Linked DNA regions of Alligator mississippiensis. The protein of the gene in region 2 interacts with the protein of the main gene of each other region in a pairwise test. Links are inferred from orthologs where the notes say so. Each region holds a gene or a part of one and is shown on either strand. Other genes may lie near its edges. The genes, in order: FNDC3B and TOX4.

What was found.
Region 1: the proteins of TOX4 (region 2) and FNDC3B interact in binary tests that used the Homo sapiens proteins (3 or more experiments, as listed by UniProt). The two-hybrid records come from large-scale screens. The link is inferred for Alligator mississippiensis from reciprocal best matches to the Homo sapiens genes TOX4 and FNDC3B.

Annotation. Positions count from the first base shown.
Region 1 is NC_081830.1:75,858,415-75,866,228, reverse strand, and holds the start of FNDC3B (fibronectin type III domain-containing protein 3B), read right to left. Parts: upstream 3,142-7,814; 5' UTR 2,997-3,141; intron 2,762-2,996; exon of another isoform or gene 2,664-2,761; intron 1-2,663. UniProt on the Homo sapiens protein: May be a positive regulator of adipogenesis.
Region 2 is NC_081830.1:3,887,771-3,895,950, reverse strand, and holds the start of TOX4 (TOX high mobility group box family member 4), read right to left. Parts: upstream 3,034-8,180; 5' UTR 2,957-3,033; coding exon 2,951-2,956; intron 2,821-2,950; coding exon 2,752-2,820; intron 2,671-2,751; coding exon 2,428-2,670; intron 2,320-2,427; coding exon 1,981-2,319; intron 1,637-1,980; coding exon 1,400-1,636; intron 1,296-1,399; coding exon 1,215-1,295; intron 1,097-1,214; coding exon 374-1,096; intron 214-373; coding exon 50-213; intron 1-49. Other genes in the region: RAB2B (ras-related protein Rab-2B), read left to right, coding at 3,320-3,365, 3,450-3,521, 3,644-3,711, 3,854-3,936, 4,044-4,136, 4,410-4,521, 4,734-4,802, 5,027-5,131. UniProt on the Homo sapiens protein: Transcription factor that modulates cell fate reprogramming from the somatic state to the pluripotent and neuronal fate. In liver, controls the expression of hormone-regulated gluconeogenic genes such as G6PC1 and PCK1.

The DNA.
Region 1 (7,814 bases), about 72 Mb from region 2:
ACACTAAACCTTGGCCGTAAACAACCCTACTTTTGATATCCTTCTTTAAAAGGATTCCCCACAGTAGTGCCTTGGTAGTGTAGGGAAGACCAATTATAATCAAGTTAACTGCTGGTTTTAAAAAAACCTTTCGGTTCTATGGTATTTTATGCCTCAGAAATGCAACTTTTAGGTGTTCTGACGTCCTCTACTACATTAGCTGCAGATTTAAATTCCTTTTATTTAAAAAAGAAAAAAGACTTAAATCACGTGCAAAGTGTGCCACCAAACAATTATGACCTTCTGGCATGCAGTCTCCCAATGCAATGCCCCAATTCTGAAGGATCCTCAGCATTGGAAATAATTCCCCCTGCTCATCCAAATAAGCCTGAATTTGGTGGTCCTTATACTGCTGTCACAGATCAATAACTATTCAACAGCTTCTGCCTGGGTAGGAGGAGTAGGTAACTGTACTGAGAAACAGTTGGGAAAGTCCTTTGATGCATTCAGTATACATGACCCCAAATTTTTGTAATTATGAATAATTTATAAAGAGACCTTTATACAACAAATGTGTGTTTACATACAGGATTAGGACCTAGGTTTCTGGAAAGAAAGCCAATTTAACTGAACAGTCCTAAATGAAACTAGACACGCAGACCAAAAATAACCAACCAAAAAAAAAAACAAAACATTTTTTGGTCTGCATATGAATTCCATGAATTTAGAAAGGGGAGAGAGAGAGGAAAGACTTATACAACTTACAAAACCCCATTCCTTTCTTTAGAGATTTTCATTAAGCCTATGAAGGGAATGGATTAATGTAAATTACATATTATTATGAAAAAAGAATGTGCACAAAGTTCCTGCGTGCAGTCTAATTGAAAAACGCTAGGAAACTACTATTTCCTAAGTCTTCTTTTAAAAAAAGGAACCAGAGTACAGTCATTTCATACTGAAAACTTCATAACAGTTTCCCTAAGAATAAATATGCATAAGAGATGCAATGAGGCTGTAACCTCACGCTTCTTGGATACAACAGACTAGCAGTCTGTTTCGGAAGCTGACATTCTTCATTTATCTTCAGGCTAGGGATGGGGTAGGATAATAGTGTGAAAATCTCTCCATTGTCCCAGCAATGACCTCAGACCAAACCAGATGAGTCCAGACACTTCAAAAATGGAAAATGAGTCGGCTTCCATGCACACTCACCCCTGGGCTACACTAGGAATGTAAGCCAACCAAAGTGTAATGAATGATAGATAGCACTTAAGGGGAAGCAGAACCCTTTGTCACTACTGTAAGGTCCCCAGTATAATCACCAAAACCTAGTCACTTGAAAATTTATGAGGGAGAACCACAAGGCACTGTAGACTTGAAGGACGCTGACAGGCTGCTCCAGTAAGACCACAAATAACCCTGGGAATTTTGCCAAGACCCATCTTCCTCTTGGGGCAACACCAGCAGCAAACTTCCTCACAAATTCCCATCTTACAGCCTAGGGACAGTAAGGAGGGAGCAGGCGAGGGGCAGCGAATGCTTCCAAGACTACAAGTAAGAGTCACTCCATCTTATCTACTGCTAAGAGATACGGGAAACGACAGCAGGAACAGCGTTCGTCTTCCCAGGAAGGTTTCCAGTTAGCATTCATACGTACTGCTCATGTCTAGACTAAGACAAATAGGGCATGTTTAAAAATCTGGTAGTGAACATGTTGTGAGGCTCACGTTAGACAAGCTTAACACTTTTTAAACATGTATTGGTGAGTCCTGGTCAGGATGTGCTCCACCACAGGGCAAACAAGTGATGAGGTTCAGTGGAAAATCTGAACTCCATTGCCAACTCTGTCACCGAGTCTCTGTGTCAACTAGGGAAAAGTTACTTGATAAGTTTTTATGCCTCAGTTTCCCCATAAAAAAAAAGAGAGATGGACCTACTCTTCCCCTGTCTTCATGCAATTTCTGACCCTCACGGAAAAGATACTAATGCACAGCACAGAACTGTGCCTGTGTGGAAAATTAAGGGGGAAAAAATCCTCATATGTGGATGGGATGAATTGTTCCTTCCTTTAAATCCCAAACCACATAAACGTGAGCCAAAACCTTATTTTGGGAGAAGAAGGCAGGAGGATGTTCAGCTGAGCATGAAAGAGAAGAGGATTTAAAACAAAGAAGTTATATACCTCCTCATCTATATATCTACCTAGACGCACACAAGGAAAAAAAAAAAAAAGACACACAGGCGACCGGTCTCCGTGATCCCATCCGCCCCACACGATGCCACTTCCATCGATTCACAGATGTTCGGATGGGAAAGGACCTCAGCCGGTCACCGAGTGCAGCCCCTGCCCCCAGCAGCAAAGAGCGCCAGCCGCCCTCCGCTAGAAACACCCTGCAAGCGCGGCATGCATCTCCCCCGCCACACACCTTGAAAAAAAAAGGTGGCACGTTACCGGGAAATGGGATGCGGCAGAGAGAAAGTCATCTAGCTTTCAAATCCCTTCTTTAAAAAAGTTGGACCTCTCTCACGCGTGATACGAGACAGACCTCGATTCGCACCGAGGCCTCCCAACAAACGAAGCGTGAATTTTTACAAATAAAATATCGAGAAAGTTACATCTACAGAAACCCTCCATCCCAGGCTTCCCGTCGCACCGCTTAAAGCCCCTGAAGAAACCCGCGCACCTCTCCCCGCTCCCGCCCTCGCCCTCCACACGCGCGGAGGGGACGAGGACCCGCTTGCCGGCCGTGCCACGACGGTGGGTGCGCGGGAGGGAGAGAGGGAGGGAGGCCGCGCCGGGCCCGTGTCCGTGTCCGTGTGGGCGCCGAGCCCGCGCTGCCCCGGGGCGGAGCGGGGCGGGGCGGGGCCGGGCCGGGCCGGCGGGGAGCGTGAGGCGGCGGAGCCTGGCGGGCTGGCCGGGCTCTGCTGGAGGCGCTCCCGGCCCGGCCCGGCTCCGCCGCCGCCTCAGGGAGCCGCGCACGGAAACTTTCCCGCCCGGGTGCAGCCGCGGCGCTTACCTGGGCGCGGCCGGGGCGGCGGGCGGTGTTGGTGCTGATGTTGGTGGCGGCGGCGAGCTCTAGCCGGAGGCGCTGCCGGGCGGCCGTGCCGGGGACTCCGCCATGTCAGTGATGTCGGGACCACATGGGGCGGGGGCGGCCGCACTACCGCTACCACGACCGCTACGGCGACGGCTACCGCTACCGCGCAGTCTGGAGTAGCCGCTCCCTGCAAACGCCGCCGGGGGCGGGGCCGCCGCCTCCTCCCCCTCCTCCCGGCCCCGCCCCGCCTCGCCCCGCCCCCTCCTGTGCCCGCCGCATCCCGCCGCGGCCTGGGGAGAGGGCCTAGCAGGGCAGATGTGCGACACCTCGTCTTGGAGTGACTACATGGTGGCCAAAAGCAAAGGGGAGGAAAGAGGCCGGCCTTGGGCAGGAGGCAGGGGCGAGGTGTAGGGCACGTGCGCCCCCTGAGCCACCCCCTGCAAAACGGCGCCACCTCGCTGCGGTCCACAGTGCCCACGGCAGGTGGTCGCCGACCCAAGGTGAGCGCTCGCCACCCTCTCCCTGCCGCTGCTGACCAGGAGCTCCCCCACTTATAACCGCCGCTGGAAGCACCCCCGTTCGTGGCAGGAGGGCACCGGCAAAGCAATCCCTGTAGGCTCAAACCTAGACTCCTGGCAGCCCTGGGCAAACTTTTAGTATCGCCCCCCCTGCCCTTTGCCAGAGATAATCCTACTAATAATAATTTTAAAATTGCCATTTTCAGCCCCTCCTCTGGGTGGCCACCTGGTTCGCCCGTAGGGTGGCCATTCATTGGGTTTTATAGAGGACAGTCCAGTTTTCTGGTTCTCTGTCCTCTACTGAAGGCCTTGATGTCCTCTATTTTTCAGTGCTCAGCACCCACTGCCAACACCGTCGTGGCCGTCGGCAGGAGCTCACCACCGCCATGCCCCTGCCGCTGACATGGCCGCCTACAGGAGCTTGCCAGGCCCTTCTTTGCTCTGAAGGGTACAGGTTCCCCTCACTTTATGCTGTACGTGTGGTCCTCGAAAACGGTGCGTAACTCGAATTCACATAAAGGGACCCCACTTTGCAATGTAACAAATAGGGGATACGTTCCAAGACCTTGACCGTACCGACGCCCAGTCCCATTTCTACCACTTTTATAAGACAATTTTGGTACTCACCAACAGCAGACAGTGCACACAAGCACAGGGTGGTGGTGAATGTTTAGTTGGTATGAAGAGAGGTGGTGAAGGGTCTCCAGTTTTGTCTCCAATGTTAGTGAAGATCTCCTGCACTTCATTGAGGGACCAGAGAGAGGGGTAGGAGATAAGCTAGCGGGACGCTTAGAAGCCACAGTGGGGATGGCAACTACAGAAACATGTCGCAGACAATGAGCAAGGAGCACAGATCCACACAGGAGACTATATTTTGGCACACATCACTCCCACAATGCACCACACAAAGCAGCTGACTGCCAGCTTCCACCACACTCCTCTCATAAGAGTGAATTTACCTCGCATATAACACATTTTTGGTATAAAATGGGTTATCTCATAGGAGTGAATTTGCACATACAGAACCCGCATAAAATCAAAATAGAACAAAGGGCTTCGAAACAGCCTTGAAACAAAAAGAGGCTAGTCAAAACGTTTCGAAACTTTCAAAACGTTTTGAGTTTCAAAGCAGCCAGGTGGTGGGAGACAGAGGAGAGCCAGGGCTGTGCTCCCAGCAGCTCCAGGCTCAGCCAGGCGGGGAGCGCAGCCCTGGCTCTCCCTGCCTCCTGCAGCGTGGCTGCAGGAAGCCAATCGCAGCACAGGGGAAGGGAAGGGAACTGAGCCTGATCACTCGGTTCTCCTCCCCAGAGGGAGGATTGGACTGGGGAAGGCAACACAGCCCAGCTGAGCTGAGTTCCCCTCCCCAGCAGGATGATGGAGCTAAAGGGGGGAACTCAGCTCAGCTGGGCTGAGTTCCTTTCCCCAGCCTGATGGTAGCACTCAGCTCAGCCCCAGTTCCCTTCCCTGATCGATCCCAGCGCCTGGGAGGGGAACTGAGCCCAATCGCTCAGTTCCCCTCCCAGCTCCCCGGTCCCAGGCAGCATCCCTCCCTCATCTGGCAGGCAGATGGGGGCCCGCAACCCTAGGAAGACTGGCACAGCCCCCACAGCCCTCCCGGGTTTGGGCCCCGATCTGCCTGCTGGATGAGGAAGGCTGTTTTGAGCTTCCCCATTATAGCCTATGGGTAAAGCATAAAAACAACGTCACTGTTTTGATGAAACTAAACGGAACAGCTGTTTCGAATCGAAACAAAATTTGAAATGAAATGCTGTTCCATCAAAACCTTGAAACGCAAGTCAAAATGGAACAGTGCCATTTTGCACACCCCTAGTACTTAAGGTTGTATCATTTTAAATCAGTGATGCGCAGTGTGTCAGAGTTTGGGAACCGCTGCCCTACTGTATAGGGCAGCACTGCCCTTCTTCCCAGGACCTGGACCTGTCGCTGTGCAGTACCTTTGCAGTGGGATGGAAGAAAAGTTTGTTTTCCTGTGCAGGTATTTGGCACAGACTCAAAGGGAACCACACTCAGTCCTTTACCTCTAAACAGTCAGTCAAGTAGCCAGGAAAGTTGTGTAGCAGAAGACAGGAATTTCTTCTAGGACTTTAGTCTAACAATTAGAAAACCTTGAAGCAAGACTAGGACCCATTTACACTACAATCTGCAACCAAGTTCGATGTAGTCTTCTTAGTTGCATTTGGAATATAATTGGGCCCTTGATTACTTAAAACACCAGCATTGCCATCTCTCCCATTCTTTTCTTACTTGCTTTATATTTTCTTCATTATAGCTTTCTCTAGAAGAAAGCTTTCTCACATTCTGCCAGCTGGCTAGAAAGGTGAGAGCAGATACTGGAGCAGTGGAAATGAAGGTGCTAGGGTGGGGATAGAGACTGAAGGGTGTGAGAGAGGAGTGGGAAGCAGGAGGAAAAGTAGAAGAAAAAGATTGATCAGGGTAGATCAAAAACTCTACATAGCTGGTGAGGCACTGAGGTTAGCTTCTCTAGTTCAACTCACTACTGGAGCCTGGAAAACCATGAAAGTGTGTGCATTTGCCTAATCAAACTAATTAATAATAGCAGCAGGGGCAACATAACCCTCTGACTCGTGATGTTTGATAAGCATTCACTGAGGATGACAGAAGGAGAGAAAAAATAATTCCCATAGGTTCTCCAAAGTTGACAAGTGACATAAAGCAACTGAAGGTGATCTAGAAATAAAAGGAAGGGTAAGACTAGTTTCCATTAGGCAATGGGAACAAGGAAGGAGGATGTGAAAAACCACTCTCTCACTATCTGGGGGAGGGAGACTCCCTGGTCCTTATGGAATATAAGGAACAGAAAAAAATATCATACTAGAATTGAAGGGGAACCCTTACAGCCCCTAGAGTCAGGATTGTAGGGAAAAACATCTCTATCTCCAGAAATGAAAGAATAATTTACTCCCATAAGATTTCTTCACTGCAGAAAATGGAAACCCTCCCTTCCATGATTTCCTTACCTCACCTCTACATTGTGGGAAGGATGAGAACATGATACACACCCAATTTACTCCCCTGAGCTCCAAAGGGGGAGAGGAGAGAAGGAATTCTCATGGACGGCCCATCCACTGTTTCCACTACCCAAGATTTTCTTTTCTTTATTTCAGTGCTCCTAATAAGACACCCAAAGTAATAAAAGGTTGGGTAAAAGGTGGCCTTTCTTGAACTTGAAAAAAAAGGTGAATGATTTTCTTTGGCTCCTGGAGAAAATAAAATAAAATAAAATAAAATAAGAACTATTTGCTAGCTACTCTTTCCTCAGCCTCTGGACTTGGAAAGAGGAATTCAACTTTGTAACTTCCTCACCAGGCCTGTGAGAGAGGAAGAAAGAGAGACATTCCTTGAACCCTTCTTGCTACGCTTTGGTTCACCTTTTTCTGACCTGTAAGGTAAGAAACTTTCCATGACAAGGCTATATTTCACCTTTAAATATTGTTTTGTTTGTCACACCACTGGAGGATTTACAGTTTTTAAAACTGATTCCTGGAATCTTATGCACTTAAACTAGAAGGTGGCAACACTTGTCAAGCGCTATTTTTCAGTAGAATCTAGTTTTTGCCTAATCAGCTCCTTTTTTTCAGTTTTCGCTGATCAGAAATAATACATATTTTTTAGTTATTCACCAAAAGAAAATATTTAATCTAAAAGAGACTTGTTCAAAATTGGCATTTTGTGTCAAACATGTTTTTCAACAGAAAATAAGCAGTTGCTAAAATAAGACATGAAATCTGAAATCAGGAAAAACGGTTTATATTTTGCTGCAGACCTAAAGCATGTAGACTTTCTAAGTCAGGTTGCTTTGAGTTATGTATTTGGGTCTTGCAGACTAATTCCTGGCCAAGAATAGATAGCTCATTATGGAAGGAGAATAGATCTGCCTGCCCGGGACAAAGATTCAGGATGTGACGGGGATGATCCAGGCCACGATTCAGCCCACTGATTACTACCCCGTGGTCCTAATCCATGTGAGCACTAATGATGCGGCCAGGAGAAGCCCTGATCACCTGATGATGGACTACCATGCTCTGGGGGGCATGCTGAAGGAGATAGGGGCACAGGTGGTATTTTTTTCTGTCCTACCAGTGAGCGGACTTGGAAGATGACACGAGACCTGCATCAGAGAGGTCAACTTGTGGCTTCGGGAATGGTGTCTCGAGGCATGCTTCGGCTTCCTAGACAACGACCCACATATCAGGACGAGAGACATGCTTGGGTGGGATGGGCTTTGTCATGACCCAAT
Region 2 (8,180 bases):
GCGAGGCACGCCCGGACTTCCCCGCAACCCCGTCTCCACCCCCGCTCACCGGCAGTGCTTGACGACGCACTCACTGCTGCAGTACTCGTTGTCCCAGTCGCTGCTGGCCACAGGTGGGTTCTCGCAGCCCGAGCGCACACAGCGTGGCCGCGGTGACTCGGCCATTGGGGACCCGGTCACCAGCTCCACAGCCATCTGCGTTGGGGACTCAACCTGCAGGTGGGAGGGGGATCAGGGAAAGGTTATGCCCAACTGTACCCTGTGTCTGCTCCAACTTCTGGACACAGACAAGGCCGTAAGCTCGCTGGTTCTCAGCCTCTGACAACAGACCAGGAGTCAGGACCCAGCTCCCCACACCCAGCCATGTACTCACCTCAGGCACCACATCAGCAGTAACCATCTCCATGGGCTCAGGGGAACCCTGGAGCTCAGGACTGGGCCGCTCAGGGCTGGCCTCCTCAGCCTGCAGGGTGACGGGCTGGATCTGCAGGGCAGGTGGGGGCAGGATCTTGATCTGCAGCGGTGGGGGCTGCTGCTGTAGGTTGAGCCGCACCTTCTGCTGCAGCGGGGGCTGCTGCATGGCCTGCAGGGGTGGTGGGGGCTGCAGCACGGCCACCTGCTGCGTGGGGGGCTGGGGTGGGGGCATCTGCTGAAGGGGTGGGGGCTGCAGTCTGGGCAGCTGCATGGAGGAGGCAGCCGCAGCTGCAGCAGCTGCCGCCTGCAGCACGGAGCGAGTGACGATCTGGGTGGTGCCGGTGCCAAGCTGCAGCCCACGGGAGGTCACCACAGTGGCGGGGATGACCGTGACCACGCCACCCTGGGACACAGCCAGTGAGGACGGCAGCATCTGCTTGGGAATTATGATCTTCGTGATGCTGGTCTGGGGAGCAGGCGTGGGGACAGCTGGGGCAGGCTGTGGAGTTGGCGAGGAGATGCCCCCAGAGACGGTGGCAGTTGGCGTGGCCGTAAGCGGGGTCTCCTGTGCAGGTGAGGGGGCCAGGGCAGCAGTCAAGGAAGCAGCGGGAGTAGACGTCTGCACGGACTGGGAGGCAGGAGAGGGTGGCGTTGGGCTGGGGTCCAGCTCTGTTTCCAGCGTCTGCACGGAGAGAGAATGGGGGATGAGAAAGACGTACAAACAGATACGCAAGACCCTGGCGCACCCGCGGACAAGAGAGCTGAGCCCCGGCCAGCTGGCAGAGGCCCAGCCCCCTTACCTGACACACCTGGATGGCTCGGTAGGCTGCCAATGCCTTCAGGTACTCCTTCTTGGCCGCCTCTGTCTTCCGCTTGTAAACCTTGGGGGAGGGAGGACTAGGTCAGCAGCAAGCCCCAGCCCTGCTCTCATTCCCCCCCACCAGCTTCTGTTCCCCCTGCCCCGTGCCCTCCCAGCCATGCCCACCTGCTTCTGCTCCTCGCCCAGGCTGTCCCACATGGACGCCACGATCTTGGAGACCTCCCCAAAAGTGGCGTTGGGGTTCTGCCCCTTAATGGCGGCCTGCGTGTCACGGAAGAAGAGCGCGTAGGCCGACACCGGCTTCTGCGGCTCGTTCGGGTCCTTCTTCTTCTTCTGCTTCTTAGCCGGCTTCGGCTTCCGCCCCGCGTCCAGCACCAGCGTCGCCTTCTGGGCCGGGGCCTGCTGTGGGGGCGAGAAGAGGGGGCACGGTCAAACTGCAGGCTGGAGACAGAGGTTTGCCCATCCGTGGCGGAGCTGTTCTCGGGTATCAGCAAGAGGTAGCCTGCGACTGGGACGACTAGAGGCCGCGAGGCACAGCTGGAAAGCGCAACAGGGCCGGGCAGGAGCATGTGGCCACTTCTTGCCAACAAACACGGAACCGCCGGCGGCCTCGGCCCCAGCTCCTGCTGACGGGGCAGCGACCGAACGCGGCAGGCGTGACCTCAGCGGGCTACGGACGCAAAGCAAGGGGAGGGGGGAAGAAGTGGGAATCAACTACCCGAGCAACGCAGGAGTCAGGCTCTCACCCGTCTGAACTCCTCAGCTTCCTCCTCCTGCAGCGAGCTGGTGGGGGAAGGCGTGGTGGACATCCGCTCCTCAGGTGACGCCGCCGTGGCGGGGGCCACAGCCGGGGCGGCGGCAGCGGCGGCGGCGGCGGCAGCGGCGGTGGCAGAAGGAGCGGCGGCCGGGGGCAGAATGGCGCTGCCCCCCAGGCTGAGGCCGAGCTGGGAGCTCAGCTCCGACTGGTCGATGGTGGTGAGCTGCCCGTGTCCCATGAGGCTGCCCGGGCTCATGGCGTTCATGGGCACGTCGATGGTGACGGGCGGGTTGGCGTTGTACTGCGCGCCCATGGAGTGCTCCAGGTCCTGGGGGCACACGGCGCAGGCTGGGGGGGGGCCGGCCGGCACCACCGCCAGCAGCACCGCTCCCTGCCCTGCGCGCCCGGCCCGGGCGGCCCCCCAGCACGCACTTACCATGGACAGCCCCCCGGGCAGCAGCCCGCCGCCCTGCTCCATGAGGCCGTGGCTCATGGCCACGGGCATGTCCAGGGCTTGCACGCCGTACTGGGCGGAGAAGCTGGCGTCAGGGGCGCCGCCGGGGTCGCCCAGGTCGTCGAAGTGCCCCACCACGTCCGCCACGGCCAGCGACGGGTCCGCGTCCAGCGCGATGGGCGGGATCTCGAACTCCTCGTCGCCCAGGCTCGGCGTGTGGAAGGTCTGCGGGGACGGGGACGGGACCGTGAGCCCGCGCCGGGCACCCCGCACCCGCCACCCTCCCCGCCCCGGCTCCCCCCTCACCTCGGCGCCCGTCAGGAAGGGGTGCGTGGCGCCCGTGATGGCCAGGTAGTTGTCGCTCCCGCCCGGGAACTGGGGAGGAAGCAGGGATACGTGACGGGCTTCACCGGGCGGGGCACGGACCCTCTCCCCCTCCCCACCCCCACACCTGTGCTCCCCTCCTCCACCCCCACCCCCACCCCCGTGCTCCCGGCCCCGGCACCTCCATGGCCGCGTCCCGACCGATCGCCAAGCACCGCCTCCCCCACCCCCTCCGAGTCCTAAGGAAGGAACCGGAAATCCCCCTTCGTGCGTCACTTCCGCCTCCCCTCCAAACTCGGGCTCGAACTCTAGGCCCTAAGGGGAAGCTGAATGTAGCCACCCCCCCAGAATCGCCCGTAGGAGGAGTAGAGAGGGAGGCCTCCAGGCGGCCAGCGCGGCCCCAGGAGGCGGGTAGAATGGCACCGGAAGTGTGGGCCGCGGAGCAGTAAAGGCGCCAGGAGGCTGCGGCTGGGCTAGAGCGTCTCCCCGGAAGTGAAGCTGAGTCGGGGGGTAGAGCGGCCCTGGGAGGACCGCATCGGACCGGGGCATCATGTCTTACACCTATCTCTTCAAGTACATTATCATCGGGGACACCGGTACGGGGCGGGGGCCCGGGGCCGGGAGCGGGCAGCGGCGGCTCCGACCCCGGGCCCAGCCCTGACTCCGCTCGCTGCCTGCAGGCGTCGGCAAGTCCTGCTTGCTGCTGCAGTTCACGGACAAGCGCTTCCAGCCCGTGCACGACCTCACCATCGGTGATGGGGGATAGGGGGGTTGTGGGGCTGTAGGCGGGTGGGGGAGGGGATGAAGTCAGGGTGCTGTGGGGGGACAGGAGGGGTGTCCAGGCCGGGGGTGCTGACGGAGCCTGGCCCTGCAGGTGTGGAGTTCGGGGCGCGGATGATCAACATTGACAACAAGCAAATCAAGCTGCAGATCTGGGACACAGTGAGCCGGGCTGCGGGGGTGGCCAGTGTTCGAGTCCGTGGGGTGTGGGGGGGAGCGGGGCCGCCCGGCGGGATTAAGCAGCGCTGGGTCAAGCCAGAGCCACGAACGAGATCCCTGACCCCTCTGCCCCTGCGCCCCGCAGGCCGGGCAGGAGTCCTTTCGCTCCATCACGCGCTCCTACTACCGGGGGGCGGCTGGGGCTCTGCTGGTCTACGACATCACCAGGTGAGGCCCGGCTCCTGGGGTGGGAAGGCTTCCCCCTGCACCTCCTTCCCTTCCTGGGGGAGCCCTGGTGCTGCCGCCGCCCCCTTCTCATGGCAGCCCCCACCCAGGCGCGAGACCTTCAACCACCTGACTTCATGGCTGGAGGATGCCCGGCAGCACTCCAGCTCCAACATGGTGATCATGCTCATCGGCAACAAGAGGTGACAGGCGGGGAGGGGTGGGGGGACCCCTGAGGCAGTGGGGGGCTAGGAGGGGCGGAGCCTACAGGGAGGCTGCTGGTTATAGGATGCAGGGGTTTGGGTATAAAAGGGAGAGGCCCGAAGGTGGTGGCCGTAAGAAGACCCTCTGGATGTCGCCCTGGATGCAGGCCTCACAGATGTGCGGTGGGACTTAAGCTGGCCTTTGGGTGGGTATGGGGTCCCAGATGGGTCCTGGCCATGATGCTTCCCCCTCCTCCCTGCATGCGTCTGCAGCGATTTGGAGTCACGGCGGGACGTGCGGAAGGAGGAGGGCGAGGCCTTTGCACGGGAGCACGGGCTGGTCTTCATGGAGACCTCTGCCAAGACAGCTACCAACGTTGAGGAGGTGACTGGGGTTGTGGGGAGGGGGGGTGAGGAGGTGCTCTTCCGCACCTCTCGCAAAGGAGCGGGTCTTGGCTGAGCCCAGGTGGGGATGTGGACCATCCAAATCCTAGAGCACCCCAAACCCTTGACAAATGGGGTCCCGGAAGGAGTGGGGCCACTAACCCTTAACTTCCCCCATCCACCTCCGCTTCACCCTGGGCTGCCTTCTTTCAGGCCTTTATTGACACGGCCAAAGAGATCTACAGGAAGATCCAGCAGGGGCTGTTTGACGTGAACAATGAGGTGAGTTAGGAATCCAGTCCGGAACACCTGGATCCCATTCTTCCTTCCATGGTGGGGCCTTGTGGGGGTGAGCAAGGTATGCTGCTGTCCTTAACACTTGGGTCCCTTTCCATAAGGGTTGGCTGATTTATCTGGGCCTGGCACCTACCTTGGGCAGCCTAGTTTTATTGATTGCTATGCCCCTATTAATGCTCTCTCCCACCCTCTTCCTTGTTCTCTTCCAGGCAAATGGCATCAAGATTGGTCCCCAGCAGCCTTCGGGAGTGGCTCCTGGTGCTGGCTCTCGCCATGGCCCCCAGGGCTCCGGGGACAGCTCAGGCTGCTGTTGAGCCTCTGGGGCCAGGACCAGCTCGCTCTAGCCCCTGGCAAGGGAGACAGCTCCTCGTGGCTGAGCCAAGGGGTGGGGGACTGTAGGGGGTGGCTGGGCTGGGTAATTTCCCCCCCTCCCCCATGTCTCAGCAACCCCCCCCATCTGGGCCCTGAAAAAAGGGGCAAGGACCAGGCACCCCTTAGCCTGTGCCTGGGGGAGACTTTGGGCTCTGCCTCAACCACACATTCCTCCTGGCTGGCTGTGGGTTGCCGACGGGACAGAGCCCAGGGCTAGGGCCTCCCCTTGTCAGTGCCTTCCACCCCCCCCCGGCTGTCTCTCTTACTGCCTGGGACCCAGTTGGGTCTGGCTGGGTCCCCTGTGTCCTGCAGGGTCCTGGCCAGGTGCCCGGCCCCTCCCTGCACCCATGTCAGCTTTTATACTGTACTTGCTCTCTGTGGTTTCTCCTGTTATTAAATGTCTGCATGTGTTCGGCTCTCCCCATGTGTTGCTCTCCATGGGGGTGGAGGGACTGGGGAAGCTGCTGCAGTGAGTGTCTGGGAGTAACCTGGGAATGTCTTGGCTCCCAGATCCCTCCCCAATCAGGTCTGCTAGGCCCCAGCCCCTTGCTGGAGCCCAGGATACAACCCAGGAGCCCTATTTCCTGTCCTGCTCCTAGAGAAGGAATGACTTTCTTATCAGCATCCCTTTCATGCTGGGTGGGTGCTTTTGTGGTCTCCAAGGGGAGTCCAGCTCCATGCTCCTAGTTGCTAAGTGATTTATGCCTCTTGGGCAGCTCCTAGCCCCTTTTGGAAGCAGCTGAAGCAGCACCAGGCCCATGGCTCTGCAGGCCCCCAAATGGGATTGTGTGACAGCACTGGTAGGGCTGCCCACGGCGCCCAGGCCCTGTGGACACTGAGGAATCCCAACCTCGGTGAACGTGGCTCATGGGTCACAGATAACCCCTCTGAGCTCCTTGTGATGCCCAAAGCTGCTGCCTGGCTCCTCTGAGGGGGCCAGCAAAGAGCTGTCCAGCTGGGAGGCTAAGAGTTGGGGTCACTGTTGCCTTTAACCCCCTTGAGGCAACTCATCCATGGGGGCCAGGGCTGGGAAGGGTTTCTGGGTTAGGCCAGTGCTTGGCTCATGGAGGGTGGCTTTGCTCACACAGTCCCCTCTGCTCCCTGTGGCTGTCCTTCCTTTGCTGCCCCTGTCAGATGGGGACCAGGACTGGGCCAGCCCCTTTCTCCTCCAATCCTTGAGAACCTGCCAGTCCCCAGGCAGATCCTTATTTGTGGCCAGTGGACTGGAACCTGCTGTCTTGGGTGTTCAGGTAAGTGCTGTTACCCCCTGGGTAGCTGTTCTTTGCTCGTACCTCCTCTTTGTTCCTCCTGCATTCAAGGTCACCAATCTCTGCACCTAGAACAGGCCCCTCCGTGGGCTCTGATCTGGGTTTGTGTCTAGGCTGAGTTCATCTTGGGTTTTGCCCAATGTGACTGTCTTATGAATAGACCTTGGCTGGTGAGTTGCTTGGGGGCAGAAAGGAGAGTAGCTATGCACTTCTGTTCAGTATCTGGCATGATGGAGCTGTAGCTGACAGCAGCCTTGGGTGTTACCTCAATGCAGGCATTGGCCATAGCAGCAAGGGTTTCAGCCCCAGCCATGGGCAGTTTAACCACCTAGAATTGAGTCTTGTCAAATGAACCTTGGTTCTCTGAACTAACATTTCCTTCTGAAAAACTTTGATGTGATTTGGGGGGATGGTGGGGGGGGGGAAGGTTTTCCCTTTTTTGAGGCTAAACAGCTGCTGTTTGTTTTTTAGTTTGGAAATAAACGTTAACATTCTCAGGTTTATTTATTCACTTGTAGACATACTTTTTCCTACGGCAAAGTTTTAGGAAGTTCAAAACCGTGATGTAGGAAGGACCTCTAATTTTGCTCATGTTTTTACATTCTGTTCCACAAAGGAGAGGTGTTGTGGGGAAGGGGGACGGGGGGAGAAGCAGTCTTAATAAATTTGACTCTTTATCCTTTTTTTTCTCTCCTCCCCCCACCCTCCCCCCCCATTTTCCTTTTACTTACCACTAAGAAAAATTAAGAGGAAATGTGTATGTGTATATGTAACACTCACAGCGCCCGCAGGGCTGACCTGACTTGACACCCCACCCCCCAAAAAATTAAAATCAAAACTTTTTTTAAACTACTTTGTTTAGGAAAAGCATTTGTTGCACTTTCTCTAATGCTTATTCAGAATTTTTTTCCAGGGGGAGTAATAACTTGGAAGTGTAGAATTGTGGCAAAAAAATACAAAAGTGTTACGCAGGAAAAATTAACACTTGCAGAGTTCGACTAAAGCTTTGTATCCAAAAGCCCGTGACTGTTTAGTTGGGGTTCGGGCTTTGTTCATGGGGTCCTGTTTCAGCAGTGAAATGGGATGTGGTTTTTCCTGGGACAGACTACCTCCGAGGGTCAGTGCAGTTCAGTGGACAGCCTTGCCAGTTCATTGAGTTTCTGGAGGGGGAAAAAAAAATAATTTTGGGGGGGGGGTTGTTTTTTTTTGTTTGTTTGTTTTTAGCACTTCTCCGATGCTCTTGTTTGAGATCCCTACACTTGGAAAAAGCTAAAGCATACAGGAGCTGAGCTCCTCGGACACTGCATCCAGGTCCACCCCTACCTCCAGGCACAATCATCCCTGTTTGGACCAGCCTGGCCCGCTGTCTATCTGACCTGTTCTTACAAACTCTCAAGGACTGAGGTTGTACCACCCAGCAGGGGTCCTGGTCCAGTGCTGAACTACCTTCCTGCTACTCGGTCCATCTTAACATCCAATACTGTTGTTTCTTGAAAGCAACGTTTCTACAGCACTGTTTTCATTTTGCTGCCAGGCTCTGCTTTTCTGTCCCTGGTGCTTCTGCCCCTGCCAGTATGGACTGCACCATGAGGCAAAGAGTCCCAAAGCAGCTGGCAGGAGGTGGCCCCGTGCTCTCCAGCCACTTGCATCTGCCTCAGCTCGTTCCCAGCAGTAATGCTTCCTGGCAGGGTGGTGGGGCCCTGCTTGCTTTGCCACCACTGTC